Linked DNA regions of Stegostoma tigrinum. The protein of the gene in region 1 interacts with the protein of each later gene in a biochemical or structural test. Links are inferred from orthologs where the notes say so. Each region holds a gene or a part of one and is shown in the gene's direction. Other genes may lie near its edges.

Region 1 (7,792 bases):
CGAGGAATAAGGAGAGAGAGGAGTTGAACATGTGGCTACAGGGATGGTGCAGGAGGAAGGGTTTTGGATCCTTGGATAATTGGGGCTCTTTCTGGGGTAGGTGGGACCTCTACAAGCAAGATGGTCTTCACCTGAACCAGAGGGGTACCGATATCCTGGGGGGGAAATTTGCTAAGGCTATTCAGGTGGGTTTAAACTAATTCAGCAGGGGGATGGGAACCAAGATTGTAGTTTAAGTATAGAAAAGGTTGAGAGTAGGGTGGTCCGAAATAAAGTTTCAGGGAAGCAAGATGGCACCAGCAGGCAAGAAGTTAGTTTGAAGTGTGTCTACTTCAATGCCAGGAGCGTCCGGAATAAGGTGGGTGATCTTGCAGCATGGCTTGGTATCTGGGACTTCGATGTTGTGGCCATTTCGGAGACATGGATAGAGCAGGGACAGGAATGGTTGTTGCAGGTTCCGGGATTTAGATGTTTCAGTAAGAACAGAGAAGATGGTAAAAGGGGTGGAGGTGTGGCATTGTTGGTCAAGGACAGTATTACAGTTGCAGAAAGGATGTTTGGGGACTCGTCAACTGAGGTAGTATGGGCTGAGGTTAGAAACAGGAAAGGAGAGGTCACCCTGTTGGGAGTTTTCTAATGGCCTCCGAATAGTTCCAGCGATGTAGAGGAAAGGATAGCAAAGATGATTCTGGATAGGAGTGAGAGAGACAGGGTAGTTGTCATGGGGGACTTCAACTTTCCAAATATTGACTGGGAACACTATAGTTCGAGTACTACAGATGGGTCAGTTTTTGTCCAGTGTGTGCAGGAGGGCTTCCTGACATAGTATGTAGATAGGCCAACAAGGGGCAAAGCCACGTTAGATTTGATACTGGGTAATGAGCCTGGCCAGGTGTTAGATTTGGAAGTAGATGAGCACTTTGGTGATAGCGATCACAATTCTGTTATGTTTACTTTAGTGATGAAAAGGGATAGGTGTATACCAATGGGCAAGAGTTATAGCTGGGGGAAAGGCAATTACGATGAGATTAGGCAAGATTTAGGGAGCATAGGATGGGGAAGGAAACTGCAGGGGATGGGCACATTAGAAATGTGGAGCTTATTCAAGGAAAAGCTCCTGTGTGTCCTAGATAAGTATGTACCTGTCAGGCAGGGAGGAAGCTGTAGAGCGCGGGAGCCGTGGTTTACGAAAGAGTTGGAATCTCTGGTCAAGAGGAAGAAGGCGGCTTATGTTAGGATGAGATGTGAAGGCTCAGTTAGGGTGCTTGAGGGCTACGAGGTAGCCAGGAAAGACCTAAAGAGAGAGTTCAGAAGAGCCAGGAGGAGACATGAGAAGTTGTTGGCTGATAGGATTAGGGTAAACCCTAAGGCTTTCTATAGGTATTTAAGGAATAAAAGAATGACTAAAGTAAGATTAGGCCCAATCAAGGATAGTAGTGGTAAGTTGTGTGTGGAGTCAGAGGAGATAGGGGAAGCGCTAAATGAATATTTTTCAACAGTATTCACTCTAGAAAACGACAATGTTGTCGAGGAGAATACTGAGATACAGGCTACTAGACTAGGTGGGATTGAGGTTCACAAGGAAGAGGTATTAGAAATCCTTCAGAGGGTGAAGATAGATAAGTCCCCTGGGCCAGATGTGATTTATCCTAGGATCCTCTGGGAGGCCAGGGAGGAGATTGCTGAGCCTTTGGCATTGATCTTTAACTCGTCATTGTCTACAGGAATAGTGCCAGACGACTGGAGGATAGCAAATGTGGTTCCCCTGTTCAAGAAGGGGAGTAGAGACAACCCTGGTAATTATAGACCAGTGAGCCTTACCTCAGTTGTTGGTAAAGTGTTGGAAAAGGTTATAAGGGATAGGATTTATAATCATCTAGAAAAGAATAAATTGATTAGGGATAGTCAGCACAGTTTTGTGAAGGGAAGGTCGTGCCTCACAAACCTGATTGAGTTCTTTGAGAAGTGACCAAACAGGTAGATGAGAGTAAACCGGTTGATGTGGTGTATATGGATTTCAGCAAGGCGTTCGATAAGGTTCCCCACAATAGGCTATTGTACAAAATGCGGAGGAATAGAATTGTGGGAGATATAGCAGTTTGGATCGGAAATTGGCTTGCTGAAAGAAGACAGAGGGTGGTAGTTGATGGGAGATGTTCATCCTGGAGACCAGTTGCTAGTGGTGTACCGCAAGGGTCGGTGTTGGGTCCACTGCTGTTTGTCATTTTTATAAATGACCTAGATGAGGGCGTAGAAGGATGGGTTAGTAAATTTGCAGACGATACTAAGGTCGGTGGAGTTGTGGATAGTGATGAAGGATGCTGTAGCTTGCAGAGAGACATAGATAAGCTGCAGAGCTGGGCTGAGAGGTGGCAAATGGAGTTTAATGCAGACAAGTGTGAGGTGATGCACTTTGGGAGGAGTAATCGGAAGGCAAAGTACTGGGCTAATGGTAAGATTCTTAGTAGTGTAGATGAGCAAAGAGATCTCGGTGTCCATGTACACAGATCCTTGAAAGTTGCCACCCAGGTTGACAGGGCTGTTAAGAAGGCATACAGTGTTTTAGCTTTTATTAATAGAGGGATCGAGTTCCGGAACCAAGAGGTTATGGTGAAGCTGTACAAAACTCTGGTGCGGCCGCACTTGGAGTATTGTGTACAGTTCTGGTCACCGCATTATAAGAAGGATGTGGAAGCTTTGGAAAGGGTGCAGAGGAGATTTACCAGGATGTTGCCTGGTATGGAGGGAAGGTCTTATGAGGAAAGGCTGAGGGAGTTGAGGCTGTTTTCGTTAGAGAGAAGGTTGAGGGGTGACTTAATTGAAACATAAAATAATCAGAGGGTTAGATAGGGTGGATAGGGAGAGCCTTTTTCCTAGGATGGTGACGGCGAGCACGAGGGGGTATAGCTTTAAATTGAGGGGTGAAAGATATAGGACAGATGTCAGAGGTGGTTTCTTTACTCAGAGAGTAGTTAGGGAATGGAACGCTTTGCCTGCAACGGTAGTAGATTCGCCAACTTTAGGTACATTTAAGTCGTCGTTGGATAAGCATATGGACGTACATGGAATAGTGCAGGTTAGATGGGCTTGAGATCGGTATGACAGGTCGGCACAACATCGAGGGCCGAAGGGCCTGTACTGTGCTGTAATGTTCTATGTTCTATATGACCCAGCAATGACGAAAGAATAGTCATACCAAGACAAATCAGGAAACTAAATCTAAGCACAGTGAACGACATAGCCAAAATAATGGAGTGAAATCTGAAAAAGACAAGCTCAAAATATAAGAGATAACAAGGTGTAGAGCTCGATGAACACAGCAGGCCAAGCAGCATCAGAGGAGCAGGAAGACTGATGTTTCGGGCCTAGACCCTTTTTCGAGCTCAAAATATACATTGTTCTGATCAGAGTACACCATGAATAATTTCTGGCCACCCTGTCAACAAGGCAGACATGCAGATACTGCTGCTTTTGTCATCTCAGATCCAGTCTGCTGCTCCCTTAACATCTTTGCATTCTCTACTGTCTAGAAACTTGCGCACATCCAAAGCATTCCTGTCATTTTCCTATCCTATTCCATGTATCATTCACCCAGCACCCCTATCCTTGACAGCTACAATACCGCTCAACACCTTAAATATAAATTTGTTATTCTCATACTTAAATCTCTTTGTGGCCTCAACTTGCATCATCTTCATAGCCCTATAACCTCCCCCTAAACACACACTTGACTCTGATCCCTTTCCTTCCTTCACTACTGATAGTCAATTTCCAAGTTTTATTTTATTCTCCACGAACTCTGTTCCTGTTCTTTGAAAAAGATGTGGATAATTCCTTCTAAAATCCCTTTCCTCATCTCTCTGTCCACTTCTTGCTGATTCAGTTTTTGTGAAGCACTTCGATCAAGACTTTAATAAACGTTATCATTGTGGAATGTAATACAAGAACCATGCGACAGAGGAATCAGGCATGCACAGCAACTAGAGAAATATGAACTGTTAGAAAGGCATCATTTCAGAGGTGACCTAGATATTCGAACGAAACTTTAAACCAAAAATAGTGACAATGAGCTGATCTGGTCCGATTCCGGGAGTTTGATTTTGCTTTAAATAAGTTGCCTGTTCGCGAACGTTCTACTCAGAATGCAACAGAACTGGTGAATGGATTTACAATCCGTCGCGTTTCAATTTATAAATAAAGCACACATCATGATTAAACTAAGAGGCGGAGCGAAGAACACGCCTATTAAAGATGATCCCTGTGGTGGGGCAATAGGAGAGGAAAGGTAACCAGGTTTGAAAGAGTTTCACGAACAGCCGCATTCCTATATAATTAGGCTCCTCAATGAACAGTTTATTTCAGCGAATCAATGAGTCGACCTAATCTAATAATAAGTTGTTAAGAGTGTGGCCTTGGGCTCAGGCCAAAGGAAGGATGTTTCCGTCTCAATTACTGAATGGAAGGGATTCTTTGAGCCAGGGCGTCGAACTTGTCTAACAGTATGAGCCTTCCCTGACGCACTGCGGCCCCGGCCTTTCCCTCAGACTCCAGGCCAAGGCCCGCCCTCCACCCTCCTGTCCAGCCTCCTCCCTCTTTTAGCCGGCCCCGGACCTGGCCCTCACCTGTCCTCCCTCCTCACAGTCCGCCTCCAGCCGCCCCTTTCCGCTCCCGGCAGCCGGTGGGCAGGAGGCGGCGGCTGACGCGTTTCCTGCCGCAGCCCTGGGCTTGGCGAGCCGTCGGAGCCGGGGCGGCCATTTTCAGCCGGACACCCCCCTTCTCCTCCTCCTCTCCACCCACTCCCCTCCCCAAATCTTCCCTTACCCCACCCTCCCTTCTTCACCTACCTACCTCCAACCCGGCGGCCTCTGACCTCCTGCACTCCCCTCCCCTCCGTGTGCTCTCCATGTTAGAGGCTGAGGAGCGGCGTCTGAAACGTCCTGTCTCTCCCGTCTGGAGCCGGGAAGCTGTGCGGCGGCGCCGGCGGCGCTATCTGCTGTGGCAGCTGAAGCCGGGCCTTGTTATTTGAGGCTGAAGGAAGCGAGTGGTGGGACTGCAGCAGCAGCTGCTCGCTTCTTCTTATTATTCTCCTCCTCTTCCTCTGGGGCTGGGGTGAAACCTGGCAGTCGAGTGTTTAACAGCTCCGCAATCGACAGCGCTTGGAAACCACTGGGTTTGAGTGTCTAGATTTTTGTTTTGGGGCGGGAGGTGAGGAGGGAAAAAGATGTGGACGCACCGAAAGGATATTCAGCTTTACTAGGCGTGTGTTTGGTAAACGGCTGCTGGATGTCACCGGGTACAGTCGGTCGGGCCGACTTCAGCTGAAGCCCAACGCCTCTGAACATTTCGCTCTCATGTCCTGTTGAACCGAGTCTTCTGCAATTATTTGGGCAACGGTGCTAAATTGAAACCAGGAGGGGCAATTGTTAAAAAAGAAACAAAATGTCTACTCGAACGCCATTACCTACGGTGAATGAACGTGAAACAGAGCATGTAAGTCATCTTTATTGGGTTACAAGACACCCCGGAAAAGGGAGCACGGGCTTATTGTACACCCACCGTATTTGTTTGAAGGACTAAGTGTCCAACTTGGATCATGGTTTGGAAACGAATTGCTAGTGAACTGGAATAAATGTTGAGTTGGGTTCTTTTGTAAAGCTTCTCTGCAAATTTTGGGTGTTTACTGTTAAGTAGTTAGCATGTCCTGATGCTTGGCTTTTTATATTTAGTCTTGCTGTGCGCCTATACTGCTTCCTTTTTTCATCTCAGTCCGTGTCAACACGGCGTGAGGAAGCCGACAGATGTCGGGACACATCACGGAGGTGTTGGATTTGACCGAATTGGTTTTCAAGTGAGCCGCTAGGTCATGTTTTTGGAATTGACCGTCCGAAAAACAAGTATATTTAAAAATTGGTCCCATCGTTATCTTGTTAAGAATGTATTGTATTTGAGGGCCGTTCAAAGGTTGAGCTAAGCGTTTAAAGCCCCACAGTTACTAGCTTTAATCTTTTAAGACGTTTAGCATGCCTCTTGCAAGATCAGAAGGTGTCATGAATTGTACGCTTTGTGTATCGCCTTAGAGAATTAAAAATGATCGCATCATTACGCAGCTGGAATATTTTAAACAAATTCTGCTAATGATTGAAAATATACTTAGGATTATGGGGTGCATTAAATATGTTGGTTCTGAAGATAGCATAAAACCTGTATAACAGTTATTAAAATGTTGTATTATCACCATGAGCTGAATTTGCTATAATATGTTTGTAATTCCTTTTCAATTGTGAACATGTCCAGGAAAGCTGATTTATAGATATTGTCCTTTTAAATGTATCTGCAGGGCACTGAGGTGTGTAATAGAAGAAATTCTGATGTCTGTAATCTCATTCCAAAAATCCAAAGTGCTCTGAGCAACGAAGCTCACTTGTGAGCATTTTTGAAATATACCCACTTAGTTTTGTGACAGCCAGTTTGCGTGCAGCAAGGGGACCTGGTGAGTTTGTTGTGGAACTAATCTTGTCCAGGACCTTTGGAGGTTCTGAAGAGTGGGGTCAGTCGCTGAACCTCTGAGGTAAGATGCAGTTGAGTGAGGTTATATTCCATCTCTAGTAGTGGCAGCAATAATTAGAGTTGATGCACTTGCTGATGTTAGTCTTATGTCTTTTAAAGACAATTACTTTAGCTTCATTTGTAATGGGAGAGAAATTGGGATTTTGCAAGAAGTTTGTCTTGTTCTGGACAAACTCTAATGTTACATGTATGGGATATCATCACTTTCCAATATACTCTCCTTTTTTAAATATAAACTACTTGGGATGTGCTTTTTTCACAAGAACCAACCAACAGAGGTAAAAGATATTAATCTGTTTTAGTAATGGTGGCTGAGTTGCAAATCTTAGCCAGGAGATGGGAAGTTCTCCCCCTTAAACTGCTGTAAACTTACTCAGTTGCACCCAAAATAATTTGTCAGGTCTTAAAATTAATTTGGATAGTAGTTTTTAACTGTACCAGTACATTCAGTTATGTGACTCTTCTCTCTTTTGAGACAAAAGAATGTCTTGGGTTACCCAGAAACTAGCTGATTCTTGAAGTGCTGTTGAGCATGAGGCTGTGCTCACCATCACCTGGAAAATGTAGATGTGCACTCTCTCTTGATTTGTAGATTTGGCCAGTTTATGGGACAGATAGGACAAAATGGTAATGTCAATAGACTAATCCAGAGGAAAAACCAAGAACTGCAGACGGTGTAAATCAGGAACGCAAACAGAAGTTGCTGGAAAAGCTTAAGTGTGGCAGCACCTGTGGAGGAAAAAAGCTAATGTTTCGGGTCCAAGGAATGGTCACTGGAACTGAAACGTTAACTTCTTTCCTTCACAGGTGCTGCAGATCTGCTGAGCTTTTCCAGCAACTTCTGTTTTTATGTAATAATCCAGAGGCCCCAGCTAATGACTCGTGATGCTGGTGGAATTTAGAATTTATTAGCATTTGAAGTTGAAAGTTGTCTGTTTCAGTCATTATTACTATCATTGCACAAATCCCTTTAGTTTACTATAATAAAATGTGAGGCTGGATGAACACAGCAGGCCCAGCAGCATCTCAGGAGCACAAAAGCTGATGTTTTGGGCCTAGACCCTTCATCAGAGGGGGATGGGGGGAGGGTTCTGGAATAAACAGGGAGAGAGGGGGAGGCGGACCGAAGGTGGCGAGGGGATAGGTCAGTCCAGGGAAGACAGACAGGTCAAGGAGGTGGGATGAGGTTAGTAGGTAGGAGATGGAGGTGTGGCTTGGGGTGGGA
Region 2 (8,263 bases), on another chromosome or scaffold:
GGTGTAAACTAGTTTGGCAAGGGGATGGAAACCAGACCAATAGGTCAGCAAATAAAATGACTGAGGAGGAGTCTGAGACGAAGGCTGGTAAGGCTAAGAGGAAGAACAGATATTGAGAGGTTTCTGAATACCGTGGGGCTGGTGGTCTGAGGTGTATTCGTTTTAATGCAATGAGTATGACAGATAAGGCAGATGAACTTAGAGCTTGGATTAATACATATAACTATGATGTTATGACTATTACAATAACATGGTTGAGGGATGGATAAGACTAGCAGCTTAATGTTCTGGGATTTAGATGTTCTAGGCAAGATTGAGAGATGTAAACGAGGTAAGGATTCTAATTAAGGAGAATATCACAGCTGTACTGAGGGACAGCACCTTGGAGGGCACATCCAGCGATATGGATAGAGCTCAGGAATAGGAAGTGTACAATAATTTCAATGGGATTGTACTACAGGCCTCCCAACAGCCAGCGGGTGTTAGAGGAACAGATATGTGACAGATTATGGAATACTATGAAAACAATAGGATTGTTGTGTTGGATGATTTTAAGTTCTCCTATACTGACTGGGTCTTGCTGAAAAGCAGGAGCTTGGATGGGGGAGAATTTGTTAGGTGTGTCCAAGATACTTTTTTGAAACTATATGTAAAAGTCCAACTGGGGAGGGGCCATACTGGACTAGGTATTGGGGAATAAGCCTAGGCAGGTTATTAAAGTTTCAATGGGGTGGAGGTGGGGCATTTTGGGAACAGTAACCATAATTCTGTTAATTTTAAGTTATTTAAGGATAAGGACAAGGGTATTCTTTGGTGAATATACTAAGCTGGGGGATAGCTACCTACCACGACATTAGGGAGGAACTGGGAAATGTAGACTGGGGGCAACTGTTTGAGGGTAAAAAACATCTGGCATTTGGGAATCTTTTAAAGGCCAATTGATTAGAGGTCAGGAACAGCATGTTCCTGTGAAAGCGAATTGCAAGATTTGGGAACCTTGGATGACAAGAGAAATTGAGAGCTTAGTGACAAAGGAGACATATGTAATGTTTCGGAAACTGAAGGCAGACAGACCTCTCCAAAAATACAAAGACAGCAGGAAATAGCTTAAATAAGGACGGCTAAAAGGGGCCATGATATGACTTTGGCAAACATGATTAAGGAAAATCAAAGAGATAATGGGAACTGCAGATGCTGGAGAATCCAAGATAACAAAGTGTGGAGCTGGATGAACACAGCCGGCCAATTAGCATCTTAGGAGCACAAAAGCTGATGTTTCGGACCTAGACCCTTCATCAGAAAAGGGGGATGGGGAGAGGGTTCTGAAATAAATAGACAGAGAGGGGGAGGCGGATCGAAGATGGTTAGAGGAGAAGATAGGTGGAGAGGAGACAGACAAGCCAAAGGGGCAGGGATAGAGCCAGTAAAGGTGAGTGTGGGTGGGGAGGTAGGGAGGGGATAGGTCAATCTGGGGAGGACAGACAGGTCAAGGGGGCGGGATGAGGAGAGAATGAAGGAAATAGAGGTGCAGCTTGAGGTGGGAGGAGGGAATAGGTGAGAGGAAGAACAGGTTAGGGAGGCAGCGATGAGCTGGGCTGGTTTTGGGATGCAGTGGGGGAAGGGGAGATTTTGAAGCTTGTGAAATCCACATTGATACCATTGGGTTGCAGGGTTCCCAAGAGGAATATGAGCTGCTGTTCCTGCAACCTACAGGTGGCATCGTTGTGGCAGTGCAGGAGGCCCAGGATGGATATGTCATCCAAGGAATGGGAGGGGGAATTGAAATGGTTCACGACTGGGAGGTGCAGTTGTTTATTGCAAACCTAGCGTAGGTGTTCTGCAAAGTGGACCCCAAGCCTCCGCTTGGTTTCCCCAATGTAGATGTAGCCACAACGGGTACCGCGGATGCAGTGACCCACATTGGCAGATGTGCAGTTGAACATCTGCTTGATGTGGAAAGTCTTCTTGGGGCCTGGGATGGGGGTGAGGGAGGTGGTGTGGGGGCAGGTGTAGCACTTCCTGTGGTTGCAGGGGAAAATGACAGGTGTGTTGGGGTTGGAGGGGAGTGTGGAGCAGACAAGGGAGTCTTGGAGAGAGTGATCCCTCCGGAAAGCAGACAAGGGTGGGGATGGAAAAATGTTTTTGGTGGTGGGGTTGGATTGTAGATGGTGGAAGTGTCGGAGGATGATGCGTTGTATCCAGAGGTTGGTGGGGTGGTATGTGAGGATGAGGGAGATTCTCCTTTGGCGGTTATTGTGGGGATGGGGTGTGAGGGATGAGTTGCGGGAAATGCGGGAGACAAAGTCGAGGGCGTTCTCGATCACTGCGGGGGGGATGTTGTGGTTTTTGAAGTACATATATAAAAGTTAGGAGGTTAGCTAGGGAAAGGGAAGGTCCACTCAAGGACAAAGGAGAGAATTTAAGCAAGGAGCCAGAGGAAGAGGGTGAGTTCCTTCAAGAATATTTTGCAATGTATTCACAAAGTACAAGGATATGGTGAGTGGTGAGTCTTTGGAGAGATATGTTGATAAACTAGGACAAGTTTATATAAATAAGCAAGAGGTGTTGGGTCTTTCAAAAAGCGTTAAGGTAGACAAGTCCCCAGAACCGGAAGGGATCTACCTAAGGATGCTGAGGGAGACAAATGAGGAAATTGCTGAGGTCTTGAAATCTTTGTATCCTCTTTAGTCACAGGAGAGGTCCCAGAGGACTGGAGAATAGCCAACTTTGTTCTTATATTTAAGAAGCATTTACTCAGATTTGAAAAAAATTGGCCTTATTCAATGATTGGTGAGGGCAGGATGATTCATGTTGTCCATGTGGACTTAGCAAGCTCTTTGACGAGCTCTCTAATAGCAGACAGGTAGAAGAGGTGAAGTTTTATGGGATCCTAGTGAGTTGGTAAGATTAATACAGAACTGGCTTAGCCTTAGAAGACAGAGAGTAGTGTGGAAGGCTTCTGACTGGAGATCTGTGACTAGTGATGTTCTGCAAGGATCAGTGCTGGGACCCCTGTTGTTTGTAACATATGTAAATGATTTGTAGAAGAATGTAGGTGGCTTGATTAGTAAGTTTATGGGTGACACAAAGATTGGGGGAGCATTGGATAGTGAGGAGGATTGCCAGAGATCATATCAGGATATAGATAGGCAGGAGACGTGGGTGCAGAAATGGCAGGTCAAGTTTAATCTTGAGGAATGGAAGGTGATACGTTTTGGAAGATCTAAAGCAGGATGGAGGTATACAGTAAACGGCAGAGCCCTTAGTAGCATCAACATACAGTGGGATCTAGCTATACGGGTTCACAGTTCCCTGAAAGTGGCAAAACAAGCGGGCAACATGGTAAGAAGGTGTATGGCATGCTTTCCTTCATCAGTCAGGGCATAGAGTATGAAAATTGTTGCAGCTGTATAGAACTTGTTTAGGCCATCTTTGGAATTTTCACACTATTCTTATTGCCACACGATATGGAAGATGTGAAGGCTTGGAGGGGCAACAGAGACAGTTTACCAGGATGTTGCATTATTTGGAGGGTATTAGCTATGAGGAGAGATTGGACAAACTTGGTTTGATTTTACTTGAACATCAAAGGATGTGGGGTGACCTGATGGAAGCTTACAAAATTCCAAGAGGCATAGATAGAATGTGTAGTCGGATTTTTTTTTCCCAGACTAGAAATGTCAATTACCACAGGTCTTGACTTAAGGTAAAAGAAGGTAAAATTTAAAGAAGATGTGGGAAGCATGTTTTTTTACACAGAGGGTGATAAGTGCCTGGAATGCTCTGCCAGAGGAGGTGGTGGAGGCAGATACAATAGCAACATTTAAGAAGCATCTTGCCACATATATGAATAGGCAAGGAATAGAGGAATGTGGACTGCATTGAGGCAAAAGGTTTTTAATTTAGAAAGGCATTAAGTGTTGGTGCAGTCTTGGTGGGTGAAGGGCTTGTTCTTGTGCTGTACTGTTCTTTGTTCTTTATTCATTTTCCTTTCCATCACCTTCTCTCTTTCCCAATGTCCCCAGCCACTGTCCTCAGGAAAGGCACCAGAATTGGGTAGTGGAGTTGGTAGATAAACACGGAGGCTGCCAACACCATCTTTTTATCATCTTGCCTTTGTTCTGTCCTGATTTGGGATAGGGAAATTCAGACCCTTGTCAACATTTAAAACCAGGTTAGATAGCAGATTGAAGGAAAAAGAATATAAAACATGGAAATAGAACGATTGTTCACATGGAAAATGAACATTAACATGGACTGGTTGACTTGCCAATTTGGCACTTTTGTGTTGTGAATTGATATGTCAATAAAGAGCCTGATATATTTCCAGGAATATCACAATCCTGAAAGTCATGCATCATAATTGAATTGTTAACATTTTGAACATCTAAGGTCAGCGCTATGCTCGTATAATAATTGGAATTGGCCACTGAAATTATTCAGGTGTTGCAGCATAAGTAATAAGTAATCTATTATGTTTTATTCTTGCAGGATATTTCACTTTGAGATTTTGAGTGGTTGACAGGTGCTGTGGAGACTTGTGATCATATGTCTGACAGACGAAAATCTTGTTCGTGAAGGTTTGTGGTTTACTTTTCAAATACAGGGAGAACTTCTGTTAGACTTGTGATTATTTACGGGTACCGCAGCATTGTTTAGCAATTGCCACACTATGAATGTCAAGAACATTTTTGAAAAGGGTGTCCAACTAGATCAACAAGTCTTGGGATTCAGGAAAGCAAGGGGACACCAGTGATAGCAAGGAAATCTGCGAGTACGGGAACGAGTCGCGATCAGTTAACTTGGATTAGAAAAGCTGTATGCAGCATGTTTATGCCGTTTATTGAGCTTTAAGGAGAGTCTGTTATGGGGTTTGTGGGGAGGATGAGGGAGGCATGGCGCCTGGCGGGAATTGTAGTTGGATTTCTTCAGCCTCGGGGCGTGACTACAAATCCCAGAAGGCAGAGCGAGAGGTGCTGCACCCCGGGAATTGTAGTCGGTTTCCTCCCTGTCTTGTGGGCTCTGCCGTGGAAATTGACAACAAATCCCAGAAGGCAGAGCGCGTAGTCCCATAGCAACCGCTCACGGCCCCCTCCCCCCACACCGCCGAAGGGGAAGAGGAGAAGAAAATAAACGAAGCTGATCCATAGTATTAAGCGGCGTCTGGAGCTTCAGATGGGCTGCTGTCACACAGGAGAGGGACACTTACTAACTTGACAGCTGCATTTTTACTTTTGCACGTGTTTAGTTCAGCTTAATCATTTCAATAGATCTATATTTTCTGCAGTTTTCATGTTTTCTGTGTGAGGAAAACTTTTTTTTGTGTGGTGGCGGTTGTACTGAAATTAGGGTTCGGGAAGGGGGGAAAGGGGGGAAGACAAATATAACCAGGCCGAATGTTTAGGAATGGCTGAAGAGAACAGCAAGGGTCACAGCAATAAGATAAAGAAAGCTACGGTTGCTGAGGAAGAGGGGAGTGAGGAAGAGGAGGAGGACGAGGAGGAGGACGAAGGGGAGCTGAGTTTGGAGAAGGCCCTACAGCAGTGCGACCTGAACCAGGACATGATCGACATCAGCATCTCCAGCCTGGAGGGGCTCAGGACCAAATGTTCCGCTTCCAACGACTTGACACAACAGGAGATTCGGATGCTGGAGGTAAAACTGCATCCCTTGTGCTCTTTTTTTTGGTGGGGTGGGGACGAACATCCCGCCTTTGGAAAGAAATATAAACAAACGAGGAGAAGTCTGATGCACATGCAAACTGGGGCAAGTGAGAACAGAGGGTGGAAAACTGTCAGACACCCTCCACCCCCGTGCAGGGGCTGCAGATGGGGGAAAGATGAAGCTTCTGAGACTCAGACTTTTAGATTTAAAGCAGTACCGTCTGTTTTTCTAATGAATTCAGAAAATGGGTGCTTATGAAGGATTTACTTATTAGTCGTAATCCAGATATTTTGCACCTGCATGTATTATGCAGAGTCCTAGAGCACAGAACTGTGTACAACCATGACTGGAGCACACTGTCTGCATTGTTGATTAGGTGTGTAGAGTCATAGAGTTGTACAGCACGGAAACAGACCTTTCGGTCCAACTCGTTTATACCGAACAGAGCTTCCAAACGGACCTAACCCCGTTTGCCAGCATTTGACCCATATCCCTCCAGACCTTCCATACCGGTCTTTTATCTGACCTCCGAGATAGTAAGAATTGCCGATGCTGGAGTCTGAGATAAAAAGGTGTGGAGCTGGAGGAACACAACAGGCCAAGCAGCATCAGAGGTGCGGGAAAGCTGACGTTTCGGGTCCAGACGTTTCCTGCTCCTCTGAAGCTGCATGGCTGCTGTGTTCCTCCAGTTCCACACCTTGTTATCATTTTTATCTGACCTCGACCAGTTGCTGCTATTGAGAATGAAATCAAATGCGTTGCAATAATATCCGTTAAGATAAAAATTGTCCCAAGGTTGTTGAATTAAAATCCTCGCCCTTTATATCCGGACTTTGAATTTTTTTCCCGTTTGGCAAATTGCAGCAATTATTTTTGATTGTGAGCGGTTAACCAAGTCGTGTATAATTTTGTATTGTCGTGATGCTTTCTGTGCGTGGAAAACTACACAAAACTTGTCTGGTGGCAGGAGGTCTTAATTTTAAAATGTTACGTGTGTTAATTTGGAGTTTACTCACGGTTAGCCGTTTAATTGTGTTATTCACAGTCTTGGTTGGATGTTTTCAACTGAGACCAACAGCTGACGTTAACCCTTAATCCCCAAAACAACACATGTAGGTGAGCAGAGAGATCTTTTAGCAGCTTTCACTGCACAACTGACTTTACTTGTGCCTGGGTCGTGAGGATTCACAGATACTCCACCGAGATTGTCTGTCTAACTGTGTGGATCTATATATGTCAATGTGTCGCCTTGTAACAATCGTGTCAGCAGTTTGGTTTTGATGAGTGTTCCCGGTAAGCCGCTGTTATAACTCGCTTTGGAAATGTTTAAACCTGTCCAAATAGTAGTGTGCCTTTGGGTCTTTTTTTTTAACAAAAAAAAGGCGGCAGGACTCTAAGTTTCAGCAGACATGCTAGGAATATAATGGTGAATTTTCTGCCAGGCGTTCGGAAGGCTGTTAAATTTTATGTTTTCGAAGATTGGGTGCCGGCCCCTAGGCCCATGTTGATCAGACGCTGACTACAGTGCAAGGATGAGATCAGCATAACCTACTTCTCCCGAAATGTACCGTCGCAACACTGCAGCACTCGGGTGCCAGTTGTAAGCAGTTGTATTTTCAATGAAGATCAGGTTTTTTTGGCGGGGTGGCAGCAAGGAAGAAAGACGGGCCATGTTCCGAGGTTCTCGGGAATTTTCTTTAGGGTGTTCAAGGATTTTTTTGATGTTGTAATCTAACGTGTTTTCCAGTTGACTACTGACCAAGATCTCACACCAGTGTTAGCCATTTCTCTGGATAATAGATGTTCTCTGGCGGACATGCTTTGTTTTGTGGGTACTGGGTGGCAGCAGTATGAAAACCCTTTCTGCATTATTGGGGAATGAAGTAATAACTAGTCTCCACAGTTGTGTGTTGCGGCTGTTTCTAAAAATAGAGCAGAACAACTCCCCCTCGTTCTAGTTACAACGTGATAAGTATATGCCACAACCTCGAAAAGACTCTCCTTTGCCATTGACGTGATCCGAAAAGCAGTTGAAATGTAGTAATTCAGTTCCAAATGGTTTTTTAAAAATATAAATATATTTGATCTAGTTCTTCACGAAAGTACTTCTGGTCATGCCTCGGTGATAGAGGAATGTCGGTGACGTGCTGGGAATGGTTGCAACGTTGGGTGGGGGGCGGCCGGCCAAGGCATTAGATTACATTGCCTGTGTTTAGTTGAGAAGGATTGTGATGCCTTGCCTACTGTATTACATTTATCTAACTTTTTAGTATAAGTTTGGCCTGCATTGTATGGAATTTGCCTACTAAATGCTGTATTGAGCAGAGAATGTAATTGGATGGGCTCCTTGAGTTTTGTATATTCTCATAACCAATCCTCAGATTTTCTTTGTTTTTCAATATGCATATTTGATCATTTGTGCAAGCCTTGTATAACAGATTTCACATATTTTGGAAGGAATTGTAGCGGGTGTACTTTAAACAAACCCAGATTTCAGCATGTCACAAAGCAGAGGACGACTTTATGTTCAATTATGGAGTTATATGCATTAGCTATTAAATTGCTGTGTAATTTCAGAGCTAATCAGTCATAGTCCACC

Evidence for each region.
Region 2: of the proteins of mark3a (region 1) and kinase suppressor of Ras 1-like, one has a biochemical effect on the other in vitro, tested with the Homo sapiens proteins (2 studies listed by BioGRID). The link is inferred for Stegostoma tigrinum from reciprocal best matches to the Homo sapiens genes MARK3 and KSR1.

Annotation. Positions count from the first base shown.
Region 1 is NC_081363.1:40,014,231-40,022,022, forward strand, and holds the start of mark3a (MAP/microtubule affinity-regulating kinase 3a), read left to right. Parts: upstream 1-4,685; 5' UTR 4,686-5,439; coding exon 5,440-5,490; intron 5,491-7,792. UniProt on the Homo sapiens protein: Serine/threonine-protein kinase. Involved in the specific phosphorylation of microtubule-associated proteins for MAP2 and MAP4. Phosphorylates the microtubule-associated protein MAPT/TAU. Phosphorylates CDC25C on 'Ser-216'.
Region 2 is NC_081380.1:37,782,769-37,791,031, reverse strand, and holds the start of kinase suppressor of Ras 1-like, read left to right. Parts: upstream 1-5,124; 5' UTR 5,125-5,406; coding exon 5,407-5,655; intron 5,656-6,660; exon of another isoform or gene 6,661-6,957; intron 6,958-8,263.